Cricetulus griseus: one gene and its partner. The protein of the gene in region 2 purifies or fractionates together with the protein of the main gene of each other region. This does not show direct contact. Links are inferred from orthologs where the notes say so. Each region holds a gene or a part of one and is shown on either strand. Other genes may lie near its edges.

Region 1 (3,811 bases), on a different chromosome or scaffold from region 2:
CTCAGACTTTTTTTGGTTTTGAGATGGGGCTCTTACTCCATAACCTAAGCTGCCCTTGAACTCATTGTGTAGCCCAGGCTGGCTTGGAACTCATGATGACATGTGCATGGGTGTGGTGACACACACCTGTACACCACGTTGGGAAGCTGAAGCAGAGCCAGCCTGAACTATATGATGAGACCTTGTCTCAAAGCAATAGCAACAAAATGGACACACAGGGACAGACATTCATGCCTTAGTCCCAGAACTCAGGCGGTGGAATCAGGAGGGTCACAAACTGAAGTCTAGCCTGGGCTACAGAGTGAGTCTGTTTCAATCAAGAGATACATGCTAAACTTTAAGTGCCTAGAAATCCTGTGTAAGTCCTCCCTGACAGACAGATGCTGAGTGAGGCATTTAATTTACTCTCTTCCTACGAATATTTCTCCACTTTTGTCTTAAGCCCAAATAATCTCTATTCAGCACTAAGACAGCACAAAGAAAACAAAGTCCAACTTCCTGGCAACAACTCACAATGCATCATAAGGCAGTAAAGATTTGGCGCAACCAGCACCCCAGGGCCCGGGCACTCACAGATGTAGTCCTTCACGGCTCTCTCGAAGAGTTCATACACGTGTTCTCGGTCCAGGCCGTCCATGGCCATGCTGATCTCATCATGCAGCCACTCCAGCCAGAGCTCTAGAGATGACAGCACACCTCAGCACACGCCTTCACATGCTCCCAAGGTTCCCAGAGATCCAGTTCTTAAAAGAGTGATAACCTGTATCTGACGACTCAGAGCCAGTTGGTATGTGACACACCTGTCCCAAGAAATGGATCCTACTCTGTCATGTATCAGGCAAGAACTACTGCTACCTTTAGTTGACTGTGGGAAACTGAGTCTCCACTGTTGCCATGATCTGCTTAGTCTGCTAGTGAGAAGCCTCATTAGACATGTGCAATGTGGTCTCTCTCAGCAGCTCCACCTGAGCTGGGCTTTGTGAAAGGAAGATGGAACAGAGACACACCCAAGGCCAGGGTTTCTGAGCTGAAAGGCCAGTTACAAATACGAAGCAAGACCCAGCCACAGTCGGTGGTGGTAGCACATGCCTTTAATCCCAGCACTCGGGAGGCAGAGGCAGGTGGATCTCTGTGAGTTCCGAGACTAGCCTGGTCTACAAGAGTGAGTTCCAGCCTCCAAAGCCACAGAGAAACCCTGTCTCAAAAAAAACAAAAAAAAAAGACCCAGTCACAGAGCCAATTCCTACAAGTATATTTCTCAGAAGCAAATGCGTGGAAGTAAACAAAATGTACAATTACTGTACCAAAATGAAACAACTGCATTTAAAACTATTTCAGTTTAGAGTCTGTAAAGATGGCTCAGTGGTTAAGAGCACTGGATGCTCTTCCACAGGACCCAGGTTTGATTCCCAGCACCCACACAGTGGCTCACAACTGTCTAGAACTCCAGTTCCAGGGCATCTGGCTCCCTCTTCTGGCCACCTGGTGCACATACACATATATGCAGGCAAAAACACCCATACACATAAAGATTTTTAAAAAGAGATTTTAAAACTATAAATGTTTACCTAAATTTACAATTCCATAGCACTATGAGCATAGGCTAAGTACACATCTGTGGAATGGGACAGTGACCACAGTGAAGTTAAATTACGTTAAAGAAACTGTTTCTCATAATGTTCCACATGTGAATCTGCAGCACAGAACACTGTCTAAGGCAATGAAATGAGAAGCAGCTGGCTTCCTTTATCTCCTTCACCTCAGCTCTCTGAACCAAAAGCAGCCCCTCACCCCCACCCCCGGGGCAGCGTTACCTTCAGTCAAGGGGAAGAGCTCGCTCATCTTCTGTCGGGCCATCCTCACTTTGTTGAGCTCCCCTTCCAGCCGCAGCAGCCTGATCAGCTCCACATGGCAGTTGTAGTCATAGCCGTTGATGGACAGCTAAGAAGAAAGTTAGCATTTGTCACCTCTGGTAACAACAGACACATCTGTCCCAAACAGACCTGATGTTAGCCTGGGAGGCCACTGAGTGAGCTAAGCGGCACCAGCCCCGTCACACAGAAGTGAGAGGTGTTCTTATCCTAACAGGAAGCTCCCTCCCCTTGGGCCCTCTCTACTGAGACAGTACCACCCTTAGGAAGTCACCAGTGTCCTCCACAGCCTCAGCTTCCATCTGGGGCACTGCTAGTCTCCAGCCCACAGAACGCATAGGCACTTCGACATTGCAGGTGTGCCATATGAATTCTTTCATGACACTGAACAAGTAAGGACAGCAAGAGGCTGGTGTGGGAGCCATAAATAAATAGCACGACTGTAGCAACCAACTCTGGCGCACATCCCACACCTACAAAACAACTGCACAACAAGGTAACTTGCACAACATTCCAGCCACTGACACCTGGGCTCAGTCTTCTTTTGTCTTTTTTGTTTTTTGAGATAGGGTTTCTCTGTGTAGCTTTGGAGGCTGTCTTGGAACTCACTATGTAGATCAGGCTGGCCTCAAACTCAAAGATCCACCTGCCTCTGCTTCCCAAGTGCTGGGATTAAAGGTTTGTGCCACCAACGCCAGGCCTGGGCTGAGTCTTAACTGACACTACCATGTTCATAGTTTTCTCATTGGTTTTTTTTTGTTGTTGTTGTTGTTTATTTATTTATTTATTTATTTATTATTTTGGTTTTTCGAGACAGGGTTTCTCTGTGGCTTTGGAGACTGTCCTGGAACTAGCTCTTGTAGACCAGGTTGGTCTCGAACTCACAGAGATCCACCTGCCTGTGCCTCCCGAGTGCTAGGATTAAAAGCGTGCGCCACCACCGCCCAGCTCATTGTTTTTATTTTTAATATTTTCTTTAATTATGTCTATATGGGGATAAGTGACATCAGTTGTCCTAAGAGGCCACCCCCAGTTGAAGTTACAGGTGTTGTGAGCCACCACATTTGTGTGCTGGGAACCAAGAGAGCTCTGGTCCTCTGCTAACTGCTCTTCACCACTGAGCCATCTCTCCAGAATCATGTGTTCCTACTCTGGAACACAGACCTTGCTTGGTGCAGTCCTGGCCTTCTGCCTGCCTTCTGTCTAGGTATATAGGTTTACATTTGAAACTTCTCAAGCTAAAAGCTGTAAATATTTTTAACTCTTACACATCCACACAAAGGACGAGTTTAAGAATAGCATTAGGGCCGGGCGGTGGTGGCGCATGCCTTTAATCCCAGCACTCGGGAGGTCGAGGCAGGTGTGTGAGTTCAAGGCCAGCCTGGTCTCCAGAGCGAGTGCCAGGATAGGCTCCAAAGCTACACAGAGAAACCCTGTCTCAAAAAACAACAACAACAACAACAAAAAGAATAGCATTAGGAGATCCACCCTGAAAGAACAGGAACAGAGGCACTGGTAAGCACACAGAGAGGCGTCTCCTCAGGGTTCTAAGTCATGTAAGGAAGAAACAGACCATTAAGACCATCTGACCCAAGACAGTAGCTGCAAGGGGGAATGGGAAGGAGAGACGGCTACACTCAAGCAGCACAGCCTGGAGCCAGGACAGTTCAGTGAAGACACTCCACACAGAGTCAGGCATGGTGCAACCCCAGCACTGAAAGGGCAGACGTAGGAAGACTGAGTTCGTGGTCAGCCTTGGCTGCTTTGAAAAATCTTGTTTCAAGGAGAGCATAATTGCTCATATGTGGTGGCATGTGTCTTTAATTCCAGCATTCAGGCAGAGGTAGGCAAATCTCTGAGTTTGAGGACAGCCTGGTCTATACAGCAAGTTCTAGGTCAGCAGTGTCTACATAAAAGATCCTATCTCAAAAAAAAAAAAA
Region 2 (4,405 bases):
GCATCCCAGCTTTGTGGCACAGTAAAAGCAGCTCTGAATCTATCTCTACTACTTATTTCAGTCTACATATGTAATGTATATTTGATAATTAAAGCAATCAGTGAGGAACACAGTACAATTCTTTTGAGATAAGGTTTCAAATAGCCCAGCTGATCTCAAACTCATTTTGTAGCCTCAAATGAGCTTGGATTTCTGATCCTCCTGAAGCCACACTTGGGTGTGCACTGCTGTGCCCACCACTGTGGTGCCAGAGATGTTAATGCACACCAGGCATGCCATCAACTGAGCCAAATCCTCAGCTTCCAGTTTGATTTACAAAGCAGCCTGTTTTAGGGACAGGGCATAGCACTTTTCTTCTCTGCAGACAGTTATTTGATTTAAATGTGACTTTACTTGTGTTCTTAATTTTATATTTTACATTTCAAGAGCCTAAAATGCTGTCTTATCAATGTCTGTAGTTGACGGTCTTCGAGTCAGCTGAGGTTTTACAGAGGATAGAAAGATATGGCTGTTCCTTACCAAATCTCAGCCAGTTCTCTGTCTGTGGCACCAGTCACTGGTCTGTTTCTTTCGCCATTCACTAAGAGGCTCTTAGGAAAGGAGGAACCACTTTCTGTCTCAGGAAAAAGTTCTGCATTGTAGGACCTGTAAGATCTAACAGGGTGTGTAGCTGTTGTTTGAAGGTCTTATAACTGTGTTGATGATTAAACATCAGAAACAATTAAAATATAAATCTTAAATACAATATAAAAGAGAAATTAAAATATAAATGTAAAATATAAATGAGAGCATGGGTGTAGAAAAAAAGGAATCAAGTCTTCCTGTAATCTCTTCCTTCCATAAACAGTCAGCATACACTAAGAATTCATGCATTATCCCCAACCAAGTTCCCCCACAGCACTTAAATGGTATCTGCATGCTGTTTCCAATTAAACTAATTTGTAATGTCTTTTTACAATTGGCGCCATTGTAATAGAGTTGCTTTAAATTATTTATATTTTTGTAGCAAAATTGCTATGGAAACAATCTCTAACAGTAACTTAAACTTCATACATTTAATTAATATTCAGAAGTCGGTTGGGAGCTTGAGGCTTTTAACTTTTATTTGCTTTAAATTATTTAAGGCTATTTGGGGTACTTAATAGCCTATTATTTTAATCGTAAGTTTCTGTTTCCTGTCATTTTTAAGGTATTCTTTACTGTATTGGAATCTCAAAAGATTACTTCTAAATTTTTTTTCTTGGTTGTTTTGCTTTTGATTCGATTTTCTGGCAAAAAAAAAAAAAAAAAGACGGCAACATCAGAACACCGGCATTTACTTCAGCCCCTGGATGCTGAATTCACCACTGAAGAAACCAATTCTTGGAAGTGAGCGTTATGGAACGGCCTGATCCTTTTGGTCCCCGCGGGCTGCCGTAGGCAAGGAGGCCGCTGATTGGGTGAGGCAGCGAAGCGCGCTGCCGGGGGCGGTTTCGGTTTTCGCCGCGCGCGTCCGCGGAGGCCCGGCCTGTGAGGGCTCCGGATCCGGCTGCGAGGTGAGCCCGCGCGCGGCCCGGGAGGGAGGGGCGGTGGGGCGGGTGGGTGCTTGGAGCGGAGCGGTCGGCCTAGGCCGCGGAGGGCCGGGGCGGGCGGGGTTGCGGCTGGAGCCCAGGCCGGCCTGCGAGCAGCGGAAGGCCGTCAGGGCCACGCGGCCTCGCGCTCCCGCGCCGTGCGGTCCTGCCGTGCGCGCGCCGGGCGCCGGCTGTGTCAGCCCGGGTTAGGCGGCCGCCGCTCCCGCGCCCCCCTCCTCCGTGCGCGCTCGAGTCCCTCCACACGAGGACACGAGGAGCCGGGGAAAGGATCCCTGCTGGGCGCTTCCGTCTGCCCACTCCTCTCCTCCTGTGTGTGCCTGCTTCTCTTTCCGCTAGTACTACCAGAAATACTCGGTCTTCTGTCTACGTTAAACACATGCAGCCAGGTGTAACTTTAACATTCATTGCTTTTGTTTTGTCATTGCCTGGGTCCCATAAGTGACTCCGGTGTTTCCCCGATGGCTTCATCTTAGCGTCCATGCGATCCTGGGATGCACTTCCCGCCCTTGACTCTATTTCTCACCATCTCCTTGGACAAGTTCTCAGAGGAGAAGTCATTGGGTTAGATAGTTCTTGCACGTTGCCGGGTTGGTTCTCTTTAAAGTGTTAGTAAATTACCTCGTTCGTGTGTGACACCGGTTCTTTCACCAAATCCGTGAACACGCCTCCTGTGTTTCTAACAGTAGCAGAGTACAGCCTCTCTTTGGAATCGTTACTGATCTCGTTTAAACTTGCACGGAGTTTCTCAGTCTGGCCTTGAACTTTGGATCTTCCAGCAGTTGTGGTTCCGGGGTTACTTCAGGCATTGTTATTTTTTATTGTAATGCCTGTCGTTCTGCCATCAAGGTTTTCCTGCCGAATCTTCGTAGGAGGGGCAGGGAGAGAGAGAGAGCTGGTATTAACTGTGTGTGTTGGTATTACTGCACAACTTAACCACGTGCTTACTGGTATTCTCTCTCTCTCTCTCTCTCTCCCTCCCTCCCTCCCTCCTCCCTCCCTTCCTGTCTCTCCCCTCCTCCTCCCCCGTGTGTGTGTGTGTGTGTGTGTTGTGTGTGTGTGTGTGTGTTGTGTGTGTGTGTGTGTGTGTGTGTGTGTGTGTGTGTGTGTGTGTGCGGTGTGTGTTGGTATTAACTGTGTGTGTGTTGGTATTACTGCACAAGTTAACCAGATGCTGGAACAGAAAGACATAGTCAGTAACCATCTAGCATAACTCCCTTATTTTTCAGATGAGCCTGGGGCCATGAGAGGTGAGATGGGTAGCAGAGGAGATTAGAATACAGGTTACCTGCCTCCCAAGTGAGTACCCTTAACTACTGCATCAGGTCTTCTCTCACTGAAGGGTGGCCTAATAGAATTTTTTTTATTTGATTTTTTTTTTAATTCCCTGGCTTGCTTTCTCCTTTTATAATGAAGGACTGGAAAATAGAAAAGTCACTTTTTTTGTGTGTCCAGAACTAGAAATTTATTAGAATGCCAACCCATTCAAGATTTTAATGGTTGTTTTCAGGTTCTCAGTGTTGGGATAAAATACTCCTGATAAGTAAGACAGTTGTCCCTCAGTATCTGAGAGGGACTGGGTACAGAGCTCCCAATATTAAAAAGTGCATGGATATTCAAAGTTCCATATGTGTGTTTGCATATAACCTATGCAGTCTTCCTATGTTGTTCACATCATCTCTAGATCACTCACAATGTGTAATAGGATGTAAATGGTTGCAATGGAATATTGCTTAGGGAGTAATGACAAGGGAAAAGCCCTTTAGCTCTGTAACAGGTAAAACCATTGGAGCTGTAATTGCAACTTCATGTTACTAGATGTTGGCTGGATACACAGATAAGGAGAGGTGACTAGTTTATGTACTCATCATCTGGTTCTCATTTACATCTTGATTATTCTAAAGTACCTTGCTTGTTGTTTAAACCAGAAAATAAGGTTTGAAGAGGAGGGGAGGAGGTGGTAGTGGCAGTCATTCTGTGAGTTGACACGTTGCATCATATAGTCCTTTGTTGTAAAGGACTAGACTCTACACCAGTGGTTCGCAGCCTGTGGGCCGAGTCCATGAAAGACCCTTTCATGGAGATCACATAGCAGATATTTACATATGATTCATAACAGTAGCAAAATTACATTTATGAAGTAGCAATGAAAATAATTTTATGGTTGGGGTCACCACACATGAGGAATTATATTAAAGGGTTGCAGCATTAGGAGGGTTGAGAACCACTGCTCTACACTGTAGACTGTTGAGGGATGTCCTTGGCTTCTCTTCACTAGAGTCTGATTCCCGCTTTGACAATACATAATGTCTGTAGACATTTCCAAATGTTCCTAGAGGGTGGGGCACAAAAATCACCTTTGGTTGAGAACAACTTGCTCTTAGGAATTACCGTAGGCAACTTGATGTCAAAGTGCTTATGGTCAAGCCTGGCAACCCGAACTCAATTGCTGAACCCCACTTAGTGTAAAGAGAGAACAGACTCCCAAAAGTTATCCTGTGGCATATGCTTATTGCCCCTGCCCCACTAAATAAAACAAATGAATAAAAGCAATAAAAACAAAAAGCAAAGGACAGCCTTTTGGCTGAGTTAGCTACAGCAATCTGTGTCTGAACAGGCATCTTTGTAGATGTGGGTGTCTTGCCTTCTAAGCAAGTGCCCCTGCTTTCCTTTCTTGTATCACCTACTGGTCATTCATGAAGGTCTTACTGACTAGCAGGGTTAGAGTAGCTGGACCTGTGGTGTGTAGGTTGCTGAGGAGGGATTGGGACAGGGCTTTTGTTTGACACTGGCTTTGAATGCTTCTTCTACAGGCTTGCTCAGTCTGTTTAGGTGCC

The links.
Region 1: the proteins of Lsm6 (region 2) and squamous cell carcinoma antigen recognized by T-cells 3 purify together in Homo sapiens (affinity purification with mass spectrometry; 4 studies listed by BioGRID and IntAct, counting the BioPlex papers as one, with this or other methods). This does not show direct contact. The link is inferred for Cricetulus griseus from reciprocal best matches to the Homo sapiens genes LSM6 and SART3.

The regions. Positions count from the first base shown.
Region 1 is NC_048597.1:93,410,760-93,414,570, forward strand, and holds part of squamous cell carcinoma antigen recognized by T-cells 3, read right to left. Parts: intron 1,942-3,811; coding exon 1,815-1,941; intron 679-1,814; coding exon 574-678; intron 1-573. UniProt on the Homo sapiens protein: U6 snRNP-binding protein that functions as a recycling factor of the splicing machinery. Promotes the initial reassembly of U4 and U6 snRNPs following their ejection from the spliceosome during its maturation.
Region 2 is NC_048596.1:154,693,604-154,698,008, reverse strand, and holds the start of Lsm6 (U6 snRNA-associated Sm-like protein LSm6), read left to right. Parts: upstream 1-1,397; 5' UTR 1,398-1,535; intron 1,536-1,938; exon of another isoform or gene 1,939-1,957; intron 1,958-2,797; exon of another isoform or gene 2,798-2,867; intron 2,868-4,405. UniProt on the Homo sapiens protein: Plays a role in pre-mRNA splicing as component of the U4/U6-U5 tri-snRNP complex that is involved in spliceosome assembly, and as component of the precatalytic spliceosome (spliceosome B complex).